2 linked regions of the Cricetulus griseus genome follow. The protein of the gene in region 2 binds, or shares a complex with, the protein of the main gene of each other region. Links are inferred from orthologs where the notes say so. Each region holds a gene or a part of one and is shown on either strand. Other genes may lie near its edges.

Evidence for each region. Proteins that work in one complex are often made in the same cells at the same time.
Region 1: the proteins of Rab11fip1 (region 2) and Rab14 are in contact, whole or in part, in a crystal structure (PDB 4D0G), measured with the Homo sapiens proteins. The link is inferred for Cricetulus griseus from reciprocal best matches to the Homo sapiens genes RAB11FIP1 and RAB14. Residues at the interface, in NP_001002814.2 of Homo sapiens: Glu1252, Ile1255, Asp1256, Asn1257, Leu1259, Val1260, Met1263, Pro1267, Asn1268, Leu1270, Arg1271, Ile1272; in NP_057406.2 of Homo sapiens: Leu28, His29, Ile44, Gly45, Val46, Glu47, Phe48, Gly49, Trp65, Arg72, Arg74, Ala75, Val76, Ser79, Tyr80.

Annotation. Positions count from the first base shown.
Region 1 is NC_048599.1:146,992,026-147,002,633, forward strand, and holds part of Rab14 (ras-related protein Rab-14), read right to left. Parts: intron 3,889-10,608; 5' UTR 3,882-3,888; coding exon 3,830-3,881; intron 2,812-3,829; coding exon 2,758-2,811; intron 1,265-2,757; coding exon 1,087-1,264; intron 1-1,086.
Region 2 is NW_023276807.1:56,691,040-56,700,581, forward strand, and holds the end of Rab11fip1 (rab11 family-interacting protein 1), read left to right. Parts: intron 1-5,678; coding exon 5,679-5,897; 3' UTR 5,898-5,898; downstream 5,899-9,542. UniProt on the Homo sapiens protein: A Rab11 effector protein involved in the endosomal recycling process. Also involved in controlling membrane trafficking along the phagocytic pathway and in phagocytosis. Interaction with RAB14 may function in the process of neurite formation.

The sequences.
Region 1 (10,608 bases), on a different chromosome or scaffold from region 2:
TGTCAAAGTCAAGGGATTCCTTTACAGTAAACATCTTAAGAATCTTCATATGCCCAGGTACTCTCTTACTCTTCAAGATGAAATGGCATAAACTGTTTCCCGGGTAGAACAATCTCCAGCTGTCACTTGGTCCCACTCACTTGTTTCTTAGGAGGGACTCTTCTTAGGGTTGTTTTCGACTGTGCATCATCATAAAAGGTGACCAGTTCAGCTGGACATTGGTGGCACACGCACTCGGGAGGCAGAGGCAGGCGGATGTCTGTGAGTTCGAGACCAGCCTGGTCTACAAGAGATAGTTCCAGGACAGAGAAACCCTGTCTGGGGGGAGAGAGATTAAAAAACAAAACAAAACAAAAAACCCATCCAGTTCATCTAACATACAGCAGACAACTGTTCTGGTCTAGTAAGGAGCAGTTTGCTATGTGCTCCAAAGTCAAACCTTTACATTACTGTTTTGTGACTTCATGTCAAATACTCTGAGTTTCCAGAAACAGCCATGTTGTCAGGAATTGAATCCTGATGCAGTGTTTTAAGTCACTTCAATACCATAGTAGAAAAATGAATTAAGAAAATGAGTAAATATTACATATAAACTACCACCTAAATGTCAAAAAAGTCATATATATCAAAAAAGAACCTCCTTTTGGCCTATAGATGAAAACACAGGATCTGTTTCATTCTACCATGCTGCCATAACAAAACCAAGTGTTTCACTCCTCACTTGGCCTATTTGCAGACGGTGTCAATTTTAACACAAAAGACTGCATACAGCGATTCCTCAAAACTGACTCGCCTTCCCTGAAATCAGAGTTTCATATAAAGCCACTTCTCTGCAAACAACTGGTGCTGCTTCACAGACTGTGTTCTCTCAGTTCCCCATTGTCTCCACAGTCTTTCATTAGCCAACTTCAGGTGAAGAAAACCAGCATGTTATTTAAGTTTGTCACAATTTTAGAGTAGAAACCACAAAACCTAAGTGAATTATTTACAGTCATCCAATTACAAACTAAAGAAAGCCTACCTCAGTAAAAAAGAAACCACACTGCCCAAAGTAGAGGTCTACTCCCAAGTATGACATCATCTTACCTGGTGATGTCATACACCATGAGTGCACCCGCAGCCCCTCTGTAGTAGCTCCGTGTAACAGCTCGGAACCGCTCCTGTCCTGCTGTATCCCAAATCTGCAGTTTGATTTTTTGGCCACTAACTTCAATTATTCTTGTACCAAATTCAACACCAATTGTGTGAGGACAGTCAGCCATAACTGTTGGAGAAAAGATCCAAATTTCAGAAAACCTTTGTGGCAAGCATCACAAAAATGCCAAAATCTCAATTATTTTTAGCTTATAAATTATATTATACGGCCTCTTTCTCTGCCACAAGATAAAAGTTGTACTCTAAATCTTAGCCAGTCATAAAACCAGGATGAATTCTATTTAGTATTCTAAAACCACTAATTTTAAGCCGGTCGGTGGTGGCCTTTAATCCTAGCACTCGGGAGGCAGAGGCAGGCAGATCTCTGTGATTCAATACAAGCCAGGTCTACAAGAGCTAGTTCCAGGACAGCCTTCAAAGTCACAGAGAAACCCCGCCAAAAAGCTACTAATTTTCATAAATAAATGATACATGCAGTGCAAAAAAAAAGTTTCTTAAAATAATACATTTTAGCTGGGTGGCGGTGGCACATATCATTAATCCCAACACTCAGGAAGCAGAGGCAGGTGGATTTCTGTGATTTCAAGGCCAGCCTGGTCTACAGAGCGAGTTCCAGGACAGCCAAGGCTACACAGAGAAATCCTGTCTCGAAAAACAAAAAAATATATAATAATAATAATAATAATAATAATAATAATAATAAAAAATTTGGGGGCTGGAGAGCTGAAGAGATGTCACAGTGGTTAAAAACATTTGCTGTCCTTTCAGAGAACCAGAGTCTAGTTCCCTGTACCACCTACGCTAAACTCACAACTGCCTATAACTTACAGCTCCAGGGGATCCAACACCCTCTTCTGGTCTCTGTGAGTATCAGCCCACAAATGGCATACACATACATACATACCAACATGTACACATGCATACATGTGCATACACCCACATAAATGTTTAAAGGGTACATTTAAAGTAAAAGAGTAAAAATGAGGTTTTTTACATTTAACATTTTACACATTTTTAAAAATTAATTCTATGTTTGTACTACCAAGAAATCAAAACAGCTTGCCATGATGGTGCACATCTTTAATCCCAACACTCAGGAGGCAGAGGCAGGTAGATCTCTTTGAGTTTGAGGACAGCCTGTTCTACACAGTCTATTTCAAGTCAGCCAGAGCAGAGTAAAACAGTGAGAACCTCTTAATAAACAAACAAACTAACTAACAAAAATCAAAGTAAACCTAGTTATACATCATGAATTAAAAGAACAACATTTAAACATGCTGGTGATAATACTGCATTTTATCTGTACCTATTAAAAAATTTATGGCACTTGGGGCCACAGAGATGGCTTAGCAGTTAAAAGTTCACACATACACACACACACACACACACACACACACACTCTCTCTCTCTCTCTCTCTCTCTCTCTCTCTCTCTCTCTCTCTCTCTCTCTCTCGTAAATCTTTAAAATCAAACTTGGGAAAAAAGTGTAAATATGGAGACAGGTTATGATCAAATGCATAAATTACACTGAAAATAATGCAAAATGTGAATGTGACAATAAAGTAAGCTACTCATCTTTTTTACCTTTTATATTGAACTTACATTTTTTTTCTGTAAATTGATGAAGCAAGCAAGATTTTCCTACTCCCATATCCCCTGTTTAAAACAAGAAAAACGTTTCAGGTGGCAATTCTTCTATTTCTCTTTTTTACTCTTAAAATCATATTGCAGTAACTATTGCACTGGGGATATAAAACACATAACAGGTTTCTGAACACTTGGAGCATCTGCATCTCCTTCTTTTATAATGAATTCAAAAGAATGTTTATAAGGATCGAATTTTGTTGTAAATTACTGTTAGTAAAGATCCAACATGTCCATGGCTTGTGACAGAAGAATTACCGTTATGGAACTTTTAAAATTTGAACTGCTTCCAGGTGGGTAGCCCAAGTACACCTGTTGGTCTACGCAAATGAACTATCTCCCAAGGGCAACTAGAAATAATTAACAAATTAAATGTTGGAAGCTTGACTCACTATCTCCTGTTTTACCTCTAAGTTACAGCAGATGCCATTTCACAAAACCACACGAACTTGACATCAAAGCTTTTTATTTATTTATGGTTTGTTTTGTTTTCCACGCTGGAGATCAAACCAAACCCACAGCCTGGGCAGGCTTGGAGGAGTTCTACCCCCAGCACACAATCCAACCAACACCTGGGCTTTCACCTGTCATTTTATAAACATTCACAGATAAACAGCATTAAGACAATTTGAGCAAAGTCTTGAGGAAACAAAAATATTCTTAAATAATACATATTACACAACTGATTCTGAATCAAACTGTTCTCTACCAATGCTGGAATTCAAGGGGACTGGAAAACTTTTATGATATTGGGATATTTCAGCGCTAACAGGAAATAATTTCATCCCCAACACTAACTTTTGGAAGTGGCCCTGAAAAACAATCACAATCGTTTCACTAGTGCCCCAAAAGAGAGTAGAGAAGTACCCAGGGCCATGATACAAAAGGCATGTTATCTTCATCAAAAAGCTTTATTTCTTAAGTCAGAAAATCATGGCACTTCTGCAGCAGTATGTTTAAGTACTGCTGTATAAATGTTTCATGTGTTAACTTTCTTTGGAGGACAAGAATACAAGCTTAATAAACTTACCAATAATAATATACTTAAAGATGTACGAGTAGTTGTATGGTGCAGTTGCCATGGTGGCACTAAAAACAAAGAAAACTATGTTAATTCAGAAAAAAAGTACACACAAGTTATCTAAACCCACTACTACTACCCCTTCAAAAGGCAAGATATATTTCAAACATACACATTTTTTAAATATACCACACATATTAAAAAGCATATTGACTACACAAACAAAACTTTGATCTAAGTCAGTAAAATTCCCAAACTGATTACAAATTTTTTTGAATAAATGTTACTGAATATTCTCATGTTATCTACAAAACTATGAAAAAATATGCTCCAAAACACTCCCAAGTTTACTTTAGAAAATACCCCAAAACAAATATTCTAGAAAATTTAAGAGAATCTTTGTAAATTTAAGTGAAACATCATTCAACAGTTCCTTCTCCATTTAAGGTCCTTTTCCTTGTTAACTGATCAAATAAGCTATGATATCAAAATTAAGCACTAACAAATACAAAATAACTTCTGTCCTCTACTTCAAATCAATACTTAGCAAAGAACCTAAAGTCTAAAGAACAAGAATGTAATCAAAATCAAATTGATGTCAAAATTAGATTGAATCACTTGAAATTGTTGTTCTTACAGACTTTTAAAAAGGGAACAATTATTATTGCAATTTCATATAGCTCAACTCAATATGGTATTTAATTATTAAAAACACATGAAGTGTATTGCATTCTAGGAGTTGAGAAATAATCCTATAAAGCTACACTCATGCTTGTGAAATGCAAAAGCTTATATAGATAGATAGATAGATAGATAGATAGATAGATAGATAGACAGACAGACAGACAGACAGACAGACACTTCCAAAGATCACAGCCTACTCCTTAGTCCTCAGGTAGACAACCTAAAAAAAACTTTAATTTCTTTACTACTTATAATAACTTTTAACCTCACAAGCACAATGGCATGCACGTTAGTCCCAGCTGATACTCAGGAGAGTGAAGGATTATTTGAATCCAAGCTTTTGAGGTCAACCTGGACAATAAAGAAACCTATGTCTCAAGAACAAAAATCTTCCCAAATAATTCACATTGGGTGCCATTATGTATCTAACACTGTGCTAGGTTCTAGAGAAACATTCTAATATCAATAGTAACATCCAATGCATTTATTTAAACCAGCTTCCAGCTAAGGAAAGACAAAAATCATACACATCAAGACATTGTTAAAAATGCTTGCTTTTTATTGTTTTAATGAATATTTTGTGATAACTTCATGCTATATGTCAAATAAAACTTCAACATAATCCAATAACCTACAGGGAGAACATTGCAATAGGTGAATAATCAAGGAAAAGAAACCCTTAGAGCAGGAAATTAGAGAGCACCTCACATAATACATGGTCGTCTGTCTCACTGTGCTATAAAGACAGCATTCAACACAAGTCCATGCCTTGCTCCCAATCCACCCAGCATGTTGTGACACATTTTAATCAGTCCTCCACATCACAGAAAACTCCCTTAACCAGTTCTTTCAAGGGGAGTTTTTCTAGTTAGATTAGCTGGTATTCTAAACACTAACTGTTACCTCCTTTCCAGAAGCTACTAGGATTCAAACTTTAAAATGAACTTGGCCTTAACCAGAATTATGGCTCACGCCTTTAGTCCCAGCACTCAGGAATCAGACAGGCAGATTTCTGAGTTTGAAGTCAACATGGTCTATAGAGTGAGTTCCAGGACAGCCAAACTGTTACACAAAGAAATAAAACAAAACCCTTGGCCTCAAGGTTAAACTTTGATCTAAACTATTTACCAGATATCTGAACCAGCTACTAATTACAAGGGGGAACCCCAAATTAAAGAATTTTCAAGGTTATTAAATTCTTAACCTGTAGCAATTTTTTTTCTTTTCCTCTAATTAGTTTTTAATTCCTAAAATTCCTTTCCAAAGGAATCATTTGGTCACCTCTGAGTAAGTTTCTCTTGCACTCTTCCCCTTGATTTTCCTATTTTCTTTCCCTCTTCTGACTAAAATTTTATATACATACTTTGCTTCCTTCTATTTTATTATGTTAAAATTCAGCACTAAGGAGACAGAGGCAGGCAGATCTCTTTGAGTTTGAGGCCAGTCTAGTCTACAGAGTGAGTATAGCGAGACAATGGACGGACGGACGGACGGGTATAGATAGGATGGATGGATGGATAAATAGATAAGACTGATTTAAGAAAATTACAGATCTTGTATTGAATGCATGCTTAACATACACAAGGCCCTGGCTTCAAGCCCCAGCACACAATACCCAAGAATTATGGCTTTTTAACAGTTCCAAAGTCAACTAACTTCAAGTGTTCTAGGAACAATCATGAAATTAACTTAATTCGCTGGACAATTTGTATACATGCTGGTTGTCACACATAGCATCCTCTAAATATCAACTGAAATGATGAGTTTTGAGAATGTTTTTAAGAAATAAACATTAATATAGTAGATTTTCAAATAAATCACTATTTCAGGATAAACACCAAAGCTTTGTTTCTACTTCACTGAAATAATTTTTCAACACAGGTTTCTTTTACAATTACAAGTAAAAAACCCTAAAAGCAGAAACCAGGAAACAGTGCTGGGGACATACCTCAAAAGAGTGTTTGACTAGCATGTACCAAGAGCCAGTTTCACACATAAACAAGCCTCGGTGGCACAGACCTATAAGCCCCCACTCAGGTAGAAAAGAGGTTCAAGATCATCCTCTGCTAAATAATGAACTTCAGAATAGCCTTAGCTACATGAGACACTGTCTCAAAACAAACAAACAAAACAACAAAAACCACCAAATTTATTGATTTCTGTAGACAAAATCAGAAAACTTATTCAAAAATAAGAAACTGGTAAACTCTAAATAATCTCATAGTTCTTTATTCAATCAAAATGATGGGTTTACAATAGAGCTATATGTAAGGGGCTACATACACTTACCCTCACTTTCTTGAGTTTTCTCAACCTCACTTCTCCAACATAAAGCATGTGACTGATACAGTAAACAAAGTATTTTTGCCTAGTTTTTAAAAGAGGAAAAAATAATTCCTCTGTTTGCTTTAAAAGCTCAAAGGTCAAAAAAATGCAGAGGAGGTAGGATGTGAGCAAGAAATGTTCTAGTTCACAGTGAAAGCACAGTCCACTCATTTAAAAAAAGAGTTTGGCATTCAGGGCATTGGTTTTGCACGCCTTTAATCCCAGCACTCATGAGGCAGAGGCAGGCGGGTCTCTGTGAGTTCGAGGCCAGTCTGGTCTCCAGAGCAAGTGCCAGGATAGGCTCCAAAGCTACACAGAGAAACCCTGTCTCGAAAAACAAAACAAAACAAAAAAGGGAGGATGTTGGCAACTTTCTATAGCTTGTGTTAGTTATTAAAATGCATTTTCTTGGGGGCTGGAGATATGGCTCAGAGGTGAAGAGCACTGGCTGCTCTTCCAGAGGTCCTGAGTTCAATTCCCAGCAACCACATGGTGGCTCAGAACCATCCACAATGAGAGCTGGTGCCCTGTTTTGAGGTGCAGACATACATGAAGGCAGGATGTTGTATTCATAATAAATACATAAAAAAATCTTTGAAAAAAATGCATTTTCTTTACATTTTATTTTGTGAAACTGGCTTGCCCAGGACTCACTACATCATCCATTTATAATTCTCCTGCCTCAGCCTTCTGAGTACTGTGACTATAGGAAATGCTACCCTTTGTTTATTTTTTTTAAATAAAAATTATTTGGATACAGTTGACATTAAGCTCTCCTTTGATGCCTTTGGTTTTTTAAAAGGAAAACTGAACAATTTGTAAAATACTAACACAACTGCCATAGTTTCCATTTATGGGGCATTTATGGACCAGGCAATACTCTTTAAGTGTGACTTCATCTTGACCGCTGTCCTTATAAGACAGCTAAATGAGGAAATGACTTCAAGAGGAAAGTAGTAGTCTAGCTCAGGCAGTTTAGGACCAGTCTATACTGTATCCAGCATGTTGTTAACCAGGTACCAGAAAGCATGACGCTTTAAGATACTGACTGACCTTTCATTCCTGTGTTTCTAACGTAACACTCTGAATAAGAAATATTAAATAAGTACATTTGGAGTGTGTACAACTACAAGTGTACAACTAATTGGTAATACTGGTTTATTACCTATCTACTGTTAACAATGAGAAGGAACATTTGAGAATAAATCATACAATGATGTTACTTTTCCCTATACTAATTCTTAATTCTCACAACTCTGTAAAGGTATTGTTATTTTCTTGCAGAAAATGAAGAACTTGAGATTTGGAGAAATTCACTACTTTGACCAATGTTCTAAAGTTAGTAAATGACAGACCTAGAACTTGAGCTCAGAGGCATGACTCCAAAGAGCACAATGTTCTCAACTAACTTAGTGAAGATGTGCAAAGGTAGACACATAACCATCCTTGGCTATCAAAAGAAATCTTCACAAAATGCCCCAATAGGCACTGATAATTGTTGCACTATGTAATCAAGAGGCCACTTTTAAATACTAAGCATGCTTAATGTTGCTTTAATAAAGGATTTCTCAATGTTATCTCAATACGAAAAATACCTATATTAAGAAGATATGTAAGCTTTATTTATAGATGGAATATATTGTCAGTTACTGGTGGCGCACACCTTTAATCCCAGCACTCAGGAGAGAAAGGCAGGTGGATCTCTGAGAGTTCGAGGCTAGCCTGGTCTAAAAAGTGAGTTCCAGGACAGGCAGGACTACAGAGAAACCTTGTCTTGAAGGAAAAAAAAAGAGATGGCATATACCAATGCATAAAACATGTAACAGAGTCAGGTGGTGGTGGTGCACCCCTTTAATCCTAGCACTTCGGAAGCAAAGGCAGGTAGATCGCTGAGTTTGAGGCCAGCAGGTCTATATAGCAAGTTCCAGGACAGACAAAGCTACACAGAGAAACTACCTTGAAAAACCAAAAAAAGAAAAAGAAAAACCAAAAGCAAAAGCAAACATGTAGCATGTTCTTTTTCACTTACTGAAATCATATATATTCCAGAATCAATACATTTATAATTAAATGATTACCAAACATATATTACATGCTAGTCATTGTTGTACCAAACAAAATCAGATCCCTTCCTAAGATTATATAAATGACTAATTTTTAAAATTTATTCTATGAATATGAACATTTTGCCTGCATGTATAGTATGTGCACCACCCGAATGTCTGGTGGGCACAGCGGTTGAAGAGGAGGCTGTAAGATTCCTTAAAGCTAGAGTTATATGGCTGGTTGTAAGCCACCATGTAAGTGCTGGGAATGGAACCTGGATCCTCTGCAAGAGCAGCAAGTGTTTTTTACTCACTGAGACATCACTCTCCAGCCCCAAATAACTAGTTTTAAAGGTACTGGTACAGACCTCAGAGTAAAAAACAAAGCACCCAATAACAATGGGCATGTTCTCAGGCTTATATTTTAACTCTTATGTATTCGTTTATGCAGTGTCATTCCCTGTTCTATACCTATTATAGTCTATTCCTCAGATCACTACACAATCTTTACATAACTAATTAGTGGAAAAAACAATTTTTTTTAAGTGATCTAACGACTTAATATCCTGCCTTAGTTTTAGGTTTTGATTTATATATTTTGTTACTGGAGACAAGACTACTCTTGTGATTCCAACACCAACAATATGAAAATACCTAGTATCTAAGCACAAATCACTACTACTAAAGGTTTTAACAGTTATCAAAAAAGGGAGTAACATTGTCTCTGCCTTCACAGAACTCAAGAATGGATGCATTCTTGCTTAGAAGCTCCTGAAGTGGAATGATACTCAACTTGTCTGCCAGGTGGACATAAAACTTTCATAGTTAATCTAATAATCTAATCAAAATGGTCAATTTCCTTCCCATAATAGTATTACGACCTCTGAAAACAACATGTTCATTTCTGAAATCAACTTTCCACAAGTCATTTAAGGTTATACTTTTGTGTAAATTAATGTAAATAAATTCTTAAAAGTACTGGGTTGCTTGACAATGTCCCAAAAGAAAGACAAAACCTTCCCACTAAAGATAGTATGCTATGAAGAAATAAATACTCCAATTCTTCACCCTCTTTTCCATAAAAATACTTAACCAAAAAACTATGAATCCTGTATTTGAAAGGATTATAAGAGTAAAAATGTTCCTGACATATCTGAGATACAGATGAGGATGGGAGGAGCAATGCATAGCTAAAACAAGACTGTTCACTGCAGACACCAACTGATGGGTAATATGATAGTAATGCTCATTAAACTGATATTCAATATAATGCTTTATTTTGCAGACTTTGAAAAGTTTGAAATATGGTATCTCATATATAATCTAGTATTATGGAAACTTATATAATAAAGTTGTCTCTTAATACTAACATTTGTCTCCTGCCACAGCTTTTTTCATAGCTATTTGTGTGTATGCCTGCACACACGTGGATGTCAGAGAATAACAAGCAGGAAGTCATTCTTTCCTTCTACCACATGGGTTCCAGAATCTCACACAAGCTGTCAAGCTTGGACCAAGAACCTTTACTGACTGAGCCATCTTACCAGCCCCATGTTGCTAACATTTTTTAATGACACAAGCATCCCAATAGCTTAGTTTTAACATTTTTATCTTACACGTCTTGGTAAGAGGATGCAAATATATACTTACAAAGTTGGCTGCAAAAAATTTCCAAGCTCTTTTGCAAAGTTGAAGTTTACAAGTATAAAATTTAACATGAAAACAGCAGATTTT
Region 2 (9,542 bases):
CTGGCATTAAAGGCATGTACCAACAAACACCTTTATAAAACAAATTATATATATATACAGTTTCTTAAGGGTTATTTTGTTTTGTTTTTTGAGATAGAGTCTCAGCATGTAGCCCTGGTAGACCAGACTGGCCTCAAACTCAAAGATCTCCTTACCCCTGCCTCCTGGTACTAGGATTAAAGGCATGCCACCATGCCCTGCTATTGTTTTTTTAATAAAAGGGTTTTGCCAGGCATGGAGAAAGGGGTATGAGGATCTCTGAATTTGAGAACAGCCAGGACTATACAGAGAAAGCCTGTCTTAAAAAAAAAAAAATCAAAATCAGATGTTCTACTTATATCCTCTCCCTTCTGAAAGATTTTCTTGTAGGTATGTGTGATACCATCTTTGGACATGCTAGGCCACACAATCCCAGCACTCAAAGGCATTTTTTTTTAAAGATTGTATTTTTATTATTGTTAAGATATTCGAGTCTATGTGGGTATAGGTACCCTCAGAAGCCATAACCATGGCTAGAGTTATAGGTGTTTGTGAGCCACCTCAAGTGGTTGCTGGGAACCAAACTCAAATCCTGCGGAAGAGCAGTTCATGCTCTTCACTGAACCATCTCTCCAGCCCTTGCAAACGTTTTTATATGCTTGATGATTGTTGCTGTCCTTGTACCTCTGTCACCAGGAGCTGGGTTAAGCATTCATTGGATTTTGGATCGGAGTCTTGAGTAAAAGTGGTTCAGCAGTGATAATTATTGCTGAAAACAACTTAGCATCGCCTAGCTCCGTCCTTGACCTCTTTCCTTGTAAAGTGGGCCAACAAGGCAACATTGCTTTCAGAGATGCCACTGTTGAAATTTTAAAAAACCAACAAAACAACAACAACGACAAAAATGGCTCCAGAGAAAGTCGCCCTGCAGCAGCTCACATGGAGGGATTGTTGTTGTTGTTGTTGTTTTGGGGGGTGGAGAATGGGAAAGGGAAGAAGGGGAGGGGGAAGACCATCTCTGAGGATATGAGCAGCAGGAGAGAAAAGGGGACGAAAGCAGAGAGAGAGAAGGAGAAGGAGGGAGGGCGATGGGAGGTGGACGGGGGCCCTTTTAAAAAGGAACACAGTGAATATGCACATAGTGTACCCTGTCAGAACCCCAAGGGCATACCATACAGATGCACGAATACTAACAATCACCAGTGACCAAACCATGTACCTACAATGGTTTAGCCCCGACACTTTGTACCTGGTGTAACTCCATTTACCTACTTGGTTTGCTGGTGTGATAGTTGTCAGTAGAAACAGCAACAATATCTCCCAGGAGGTTTGTTTGTTCATTTGTTAGTTTTTCTGCCAGAAAGGGTTTTTGTTTGTTTGTTTGTTTATTTTCCTGATATTTACTAGGAAGTTGAGCTACAGGACAACATAAAGATGACATAATGACGTGTAGCCATCTAGCAGTTTCCCCTTCCCACTTCCTGTTAGTGCAGGATGCTTTCTGACTCTCTGATTGTATTTGTTTTTATTTCATGTATATGAGTGTTTTGCCTGCATGTATGTATAGGCACATAAAGGTGGGCCTGGTACCCATGGAGGACAGTCAAGGGCACTAGGTCTCCTGGAACTAGAGTTAAAGATGGTTGTGAGCCACCCTGTGGGTGTTGGAAGCCAAACCCTGTAAGAGCAGATTCTCTTAAACTGCTGAGCCTGAGCTGATGCTCCAGCCCCTTGTCTGCCTGTCTGTCTGTCTATCTGTATCTGTCTATCTATTTATTTGTGATTGGTTGGCTGATTGACTTTACTGATGTATTAGGCATTGAGCCCATAGAGAAGCAAATGCCTCTTTTTCAGAAAGTAAGCAAGGCCCTTGATTTATTTCCCCTTCAACGTTCATTTAATCAAGGGTTTATCTCCTGGGACTGAGTAAGACCAAAGAGAGGCACCCTTTCTCAGTTTGCTTCATGACTCGTGTGCCCACTGCTGCCCTTGACCTGCCATAAATCTCTTGGTCTTGAACCCTCCCAGGTAAATATTCTAGGTAAATATAGAAAACACTTGAGAGACTGCTGTTGGCTTACTGGAGAATAGCAGATTTGTACTAAGCATACAGCAGCATTTGTAAAAATAACTTCAAAATAAGAGAGGTTGTGAAGGGAAAATCACACAGCTAAAGTAAATGAAAAAGCTAGTAGGGTCATTGCAACAATGTTTTCTGTTTGTTTTTTCCCCCCCTTGGCTGCTGTTTTAGGGCCTCCATCAAAAAGTCATTTTTGTGTGTTTGACAGTATCACAGGACAATATAATGTATTGTGATTATGTTCACCTCCTGGTACTCCAGCCCCAACCTGGCTTCTGCGGGTGCCCTTTTTCTTCCTGACTAATACTTCTCCTACCTTTTGTCCTGTCTTCCTATAAACTGCTGCTGCTGTGTATTCATGAGTGCAAGGCCCTCCTGTCCAGAAGACATTTTCACAAGGCTCCTTTTCCATCCTCTATCTCTTCCAGACTGGCCTCTGGGCACATACACTTGTGTACACAGATAATGCCCAGATACATATTTAAAATTCAAGCAAATCTTTTTAAAGAAATGTTGTATATGATTGTAAAGCTGAAAATAACATAAATATCTAGTAGTACAGCAATGGTTAAAATGTACTGGAATTAAATTTTTCTATTAAATCTATCTTGCATGAAGCCCTGGGGTTGATCCTCAATACCACATAAACTGGGTGTTGTAGTACCACGTGCTTGTAATCCCACCACAAGATCAGCAGTTCAAGACCTTCCTTGTTTGAGGTCAGTCTGAGCTACATGAGACCTTGTCTCAGAAAGAAGAGGAAGACAGCAAAGAGGAAAGAAAAGGGAAAGCCGGGTGTGGTGGCGCACACTCATATTCCCCAGAATTGAGTGGTGGGGGCAGAGGACCAGGAACTGCAGGCCAGCATGGGCTGCATGAGACCCCGTGTCGAAGAGAAGAGATGGAGAGGGACTGAGTTATGGATTTAATAACACCGGGCCTCACTCTTGCTAAACATATACATCGTCAACCAAGCTGTACACTCAACCACTAATTAGTACTTCTTGACAAAACATTTATATTGTAGAGGTGTAATCTAAAAACCTCAAGGGTATGTTTCTTTATGTGAAACATCAATAGACACCTTTTTTGGGTGTCCTCTGTGAAACAAGCAGCCCTAGCTGTTCTGTAGACCTGGCTGGCCTTGAACTCACAGAGATCCACTTGCTTCTGCCTCCAAAGGGCTGGGATTAAAGGCGTGCACCATCACTGCTCGGCTGGATATCTTTTTTATTATGACAAAACTCATGATATGAAGGCTTCCATCATACTTTTTTTTGAGACAGGGTCTTACTCTGTAGCCCTGACTGGCCTAGAACTCTTGATGTATACCAGGCTGGCCTCAAACTTCCTGAGACCTGTGTCTACTTTTGTGTCCTGAGTGCAGATTAAAGATGTGTGCCTCCATAGCCCAGCCTCATTTTAAACATAATTTAGTAGTGTTAAATGCATCCACATTGTTGTGTATCCAAGTCCAGAACACTTCTTAGACATAAAACTTTTTCATTGAATCTGATTTTTAGCTTCTTTTGTTTTTTGTTTTGCTTTGTTTGGGAGATAGTGTCTCACTGTAGCCAAGCTGGCTTCGTGATTCAGGCTAACCTCTTTTCTAAGTGCTGGGATTACAGGTGTGTGCCATCTTGCCCAATTCGAATCTAGTTTTGGAAGCCACACACAGAGTGCAGGGGTAGAGCACTTATGTATCGTGACCAAAAAAGGTCAAACCCCCCCCCCCCATATAGATGTCCTCAACAAATTCAAAGGACGAAAGCAGGGGTGAGGAAGGGAGAAATAGCCTGGCATCTGCATTATTCATGTGCCCCCTAATTTGGATTCATGCTTACTGTGTATGTGAAAACAGTGCTTGTTTTTCTTGTTTCTAAGCCAGCCAATGAAAGGAGAATTCCTCTGGATTCTTCTCCTTGGGCACTTTGCTCTCTGGATGGGGCAGGGAGGGGCTTCTGTGCTATTGTTGGACTATTACTGTTAGTTCAGGCTCCTGGCTCTGCTTGGAGATGGTAGGTTCTTGACTTATTGGTCTTCCTGGTAGAAGATAAAAGTGACAAAACCTGTTACTGCCCTGGAGTTCTGGGGGCAGAAATCACCTTGAGTTGTTCTGGAGTCTTGTTTCCTTGAATTTGTATATCTGAGGTGCAGATTGCCAGGCCCTTCCTTTTACTCCCTCCTAAGGCCTTGATGTGACTTGTTACTTCTTACTGAGTCTTTTGTCTCTCGCTTCCTTTTGGCCCAGAACTCTCAGGCTTGCAGTTAGAGTCTCCTTGGCCCAGATGATATATGCTCATTAAAAGCAACTGTTCCGGATACGTGCTCCCTTCAGAAACAGAAACAGTCAGTCCTTGGGTCAGGCCACTATGTACCCAGAGTGTGTGTACTCAGGTGACCTGTGAGGTCCATGGCCTGGTGGCACTTGGCTTTAGCTATACATGTTTTGAGAGTGTGGAGTAAGTTTTGGTAGAGTCTCAAATTGGGGTGCCTCAAGGTAGCAGACTGACTTCATTAGCTGGTACCCTACAGTGTAGGCAGGAGGGTGCTCCCCACATCTTCTTTCCACTCTGACTTGGGGCTTGTTCCAGCTCTGCATGTTGTATAACTCCAGGAACTTGAGAGATCAAGTGGTTCATCTACCTCAGCCCCCCAAGTGGCTGGGCTCCAGTGTGTGCACACTATGCCTGAGGCTTGCTGATTATGTGACTACTACTGCCATCTGACGTTGCTTTCTTCCTCCTTTCCCTCCTCCCCACCAAGCTCTCATTATATTCCTTCTTTTTTCCTTTTTTTAAATGTTTGTGGTTGTTTTGCTTGCATGTATATCTGTGTGTGTGTGTGTGTGTGTGTGTGTGTGTGTGTGTGTGTGTGTGTGTGTGTGTGCATGTGCGTGCAGTGCCAGAGGAAGCTAAAAAGACAGTGCTAGGTTTTTGGGAACTGGAGTTTCAGATGGTTAGGAGCTACCATATGGATGCTAGGAATTGAACCCTGGGTTTTCTGAAAGAGCAGCCAGTGCTCTTAACCACTGAGCCATCTCTCCAGCCCCCTTATTAAATTTCTTGAAAACATGTGCCCAGGTCAAGACCAGAGGTCTAGGAATTAAAAACCAAGGATAGTTCCTGGTTTTTAAATGCTGGTGATCAAACCCAGGGCCTTTACACATGCTAGCAAGTGTTCGACTGCTGAGCTACACCCAGGCCCCTGGTTTTTACATTTTTCAAAGGATCATAAAGCAAAAAGAAAATAAAAAGTAAGTAAAAATGCATGTAAGCAACCTTTACGCAGTCTACAAAGTCTGTGGTACTTTTTTTAGTCAGCAACCTGTTTTCAGCCCATGTTGAAAGTGGATTTCCAAGCCAGCTGTGATTGCATGAACCTTTAATCCCAATACCTGGAAGGCAGAGACAGGCGGATCTCCATGAGTTCATGGCCAGCCTGTTCTGTGTACACAGTGAGTTTCAGGTCAGCCAGGGCTACATAGAGAGACTCTGAAGAATAACAAAATGAGTGTTAGAGAGACTCCAATGGCTGCTGAAATTTCTTTGCATTCCTTTCAGAAGTCTGCTTTCTCTGCTGACTTGTAACTGTTTCCCTCTTCCTCCCCTCCCCACAGAAATACCAGCCCTCGGATCCTGCCTTTGCCTATGCACAGCTGACCCATGATGAGCTGATCCAGTTGGTCCTCAAACAGAAGGAAACCATCAGCAAGAAGGAGTTTCAGGTGCGGGAGCTGGAAGACTACATAGACAACCTGCTAGTCAGAGTCATGGAGGAGACCCCCAATATCCTCCGAGTGCCGACTCAGCTTGGCAAAAAGGCTGGAAAGATGTGAACCGCAGGAAGGAAATGGAGATATTTTGTGAGCTTGTTTCCACCAACTCTCAAGGTCAAAGGCATGGTCTTCATAGTAACCAGCACACAGGCTCTCATCACTGGGTGTGTGCATTGTCTATCAAGAGTTTATTCTCCTAGTTGAAACCAGGTTAATTATTACAATGAATCTTTTCTATACATTCCTAGCATTTTAATTTTAAATGCCACTGTGCCTTTAACTAAGTTGTAAATGTAAGATTTGACTCTGAGCCATCAATTCAGGAGGCACCATCGGAACTAATGTATTTTAACACTGGGGTTTTCGCCCTTTGATACGGAGATCATCAAGTGTGTATCCTCCATGAAGCCAGGCTTAGGGTGAGATCAGAAAGGGACTATACTATGGATACTGTTTCACCTCCTTTCTTGGCCTTCAAGCAGCTCAGGTGTGGCAGATTCTAAATATTTTTGTCTTGTGAACTTCTCAGACTCAAGGATTGTTTTGGTAGGGTTTTTGTTTAGGGGGCATTGGTCTGTTTTCCAGATAGGCTGTTGTATAGCCTAGGCTGCTCTTGAACTCACTGTATAGCTGAGACTAGCCTTCTTCTGATTTTCCTGCCCCCACTTCCCAAGTGTTGGGATTACTGCTGTGTTGATGCCTCTTGCCTGGAGCACAACTGTTTACGAAAACCTCTGAGCATGCTTCTTAGACTTGGAACAAATTGTCTCTTTCAGGTCCTTCTGCCTTTTAGCTTTAAAAATATGATTTGTGGGTGGGGAGATACAGCTTAGAGGGTAAAGGGCTTGCACTGCAAACATGAGAATCTGTATTTGCATTCTCGGCACCCATGCAAAAGAGCCAACAGTAGTGGCAGGTGCCTGGGTGGGGGTGGTGAGTGGGCTCAGAGGGATGAAGGCGGGCAGAGACTGGCAAAGCCCAGCGGCTCACTGGCCAGCCGTTCTAGCTGAAACAGGGAACTCTGGATTCAGTGAGGGACCCTGTCTTAATAAGCCTCTGCCTACCTTAAGCCTCTGCCCTTCATATGATCCCACATAGGTGAATACACCCCACATATGTACATATGCACACATACGAAGACATGCCACCACACCCACAGGCACATATCCACACTGCTTTTTAGATCCATAGGGCCATCTCCTGAAGACATGAAGGAATTAAAGAGGCACTTTTCAGACTGGCTCATCAGTTAAGAGCACTGGCTGCTTTTTTAGAGGGACCCAGGTTCAATTCCCAGCACCTGAATGGTAACTCACAACTTTCTGTAACTCCAGTTCCAGGGGATCCAACACCCTCACAAACGTACATGCAGGCAAAACACCAATGGCACATTTTTTTTTTTTAAAAAAAGTCACTTTTCTTTTAAGTAGGGAAAAATGGTCAGAGTCCCGCCTCTCAAGCTAACAGGGTTCTGTTGTTGGCGAGAGGACTAAGCAATGCAGATACTTCAGCCTTTCTGTGAGGTAGAAAATGACTTTAGGAAGGGTCCCTTGGCCATGTGCCATTTGCTTGTCTTATTGGCTTTCCTGACAATGTTCATGGAAGGGAGTAGCCAGAGTCCACCAATTCCTCAAGATGAAGGATCCTTGGGCTAGGGCTGGGCAAGTGCTCAGTGGTATCGAGCACTGCCATCCCCACCCCACACTTGCTTTTTGATTGCTACTTCCTGATTTGGGGGGAGTTTTGTTGTTGCTGCTATTTTGAGACAGGATCTCACTGGCTTCAAACTTTCATCCCTCTTGCCTTATCTTTCCAAATACTGGGATCATGGGTATGTGTCGTCATGCCTGGTAGATTGCTGTATTTTTTAATATATATATATCAGCCCCATTTCATTGCTGGACACCTCATACTAGAATTAAAGTGTTTCAGGTTGCTCTTTTTTTTTTTCTTCCTGGTTGTAATGATCTTAACATCTCTGCTAGGGGCAATCACAGGCCAGTGGAATGGACAGGGTGGAGGTGGTGGTAGTTATGAATGAAGAATCTCTCTGTGTATGTCCTCGTCATCCGGAAGATGAGGACCATTGGTTACACTGGAGCACTTTAAGCTGAAGGGTGGGACTATAACTTGATTTATCTAATTAGCTGTTAATGATCCACACCTATTTTTATTTAATCTCTCCTACAATACTAGGGACCACTGCAGATTTCTGAGATGATTTGTAATTTTTCTTTTTTTAGTGTTGTAAAATTCATTAATATGCCTATAAAAAAAACATACTCACTTGAACTCTGAAAATGTACATGTATATGTCTGTTCTGGATCATGTTTTTTTACTTGATAAAAATGCATTTGTACTGTGATAACCTAAGTGCATGGGGGCAAGCACTGGTTCTCCAAAGAGTTGTCCTGGAGAACTAACTGCCTTGTTAATGGCCAGACTGGAGGTCTCTGCTGCGATTGGGACCTTTGGCATGTCACTGACTTAGTACTAGAGAGGACCATTTAGGTGGAGTGAATTCCTGTGCTCTGAAATGCCACTTGGGAACTCTGGAGAATGAAGGATAATTTACCTCAAGGGCTTCACTGGAAAACATTGCATTTCTAACTGCTGTCACTCACAGAATACATAGAGGCCACACCTACTTAATAACTGGTCTTGAATATGCAGTTGGGGGCTGAAGGAAGACACCAAGGGAAACCAAGCTTGCAGTGAGAGAGAGGTTTGTGACTTGGAGAGCTCTGGGAGCTACTGAGGCTGGCCACTGGAGGGGCCTGCACTCCAGGAAAAAAAAAAGGGCTTTTTTCCTTGCCCTTGCCTGGCTGCCTCCAGAAAGCCCAGCCAGGATTTGAGGGGGCATTGGAATAAATCCAGCAGACTCCGATTGGAGGTCAGCTTCCTAAAAAACAGTCAGCCCTCTGTCCAGTTGCTTCCTATCATCTTATGCTTGGCTTTGCCTCATGGCCTGGCCTCCCTGTTTTATTCCAGTACGTTAGTTCTCCTTCCTTCCACACCAGAAGGAAGGAGCGAGCAGCCCTGCTCTGTGCCATGCTCAACAGCAGTGCACATGCATGATAGATGAGCTGTGTGCCTCCAGCTTCCCAGTTCACAGGCATCAGAGAGGCTTTGCTATGCGCTCTATTGAGGCCAGAGTTCTTCATCCCTGGGTTCCTCTCCCTTTGGTTTATTGGCGGTGGGGATTAAACCCGGTGTCTTCTTCATGGGAATCCCATGCTCTACCACTGAGTTACACCCTCAGCCAGACCCTCACCCCGCTTTGTGATGTTTTTGTCTTTGTTTTTTAAGTCAGGTTCTCATGTAGCCCAGGTTAACCTTGCACTGGCTTTATGGCTACTGCTGACCTTTAACTCCTGATCCTCCTGCCTCTATCTTCCAAATGCTGAGAATATCAGCATGCTACCACTCCCAGGTTTTTTTGGGGGGGGGTTGTTTTGTTTTTTGGCAGAGGTGGGGGGTGGTGGGATGGGGTCCTGATTAAGGATCCCAAAAGACTGAAAATCAATCAGTTGCCCTAGATTGGAAACGTGAACCCACACCAGCCCCAAGTCTGGATTCTTCCACCTACTTTGTGAACTACAAAATTCCCTCCACCTGAAGGCTCAATGGTGTTTGTTTGTTTTAATTACAGAATTACTGTTCCCTGCATGTTGCTTTGGGACTTTTGAACTTGCTTGGTATTG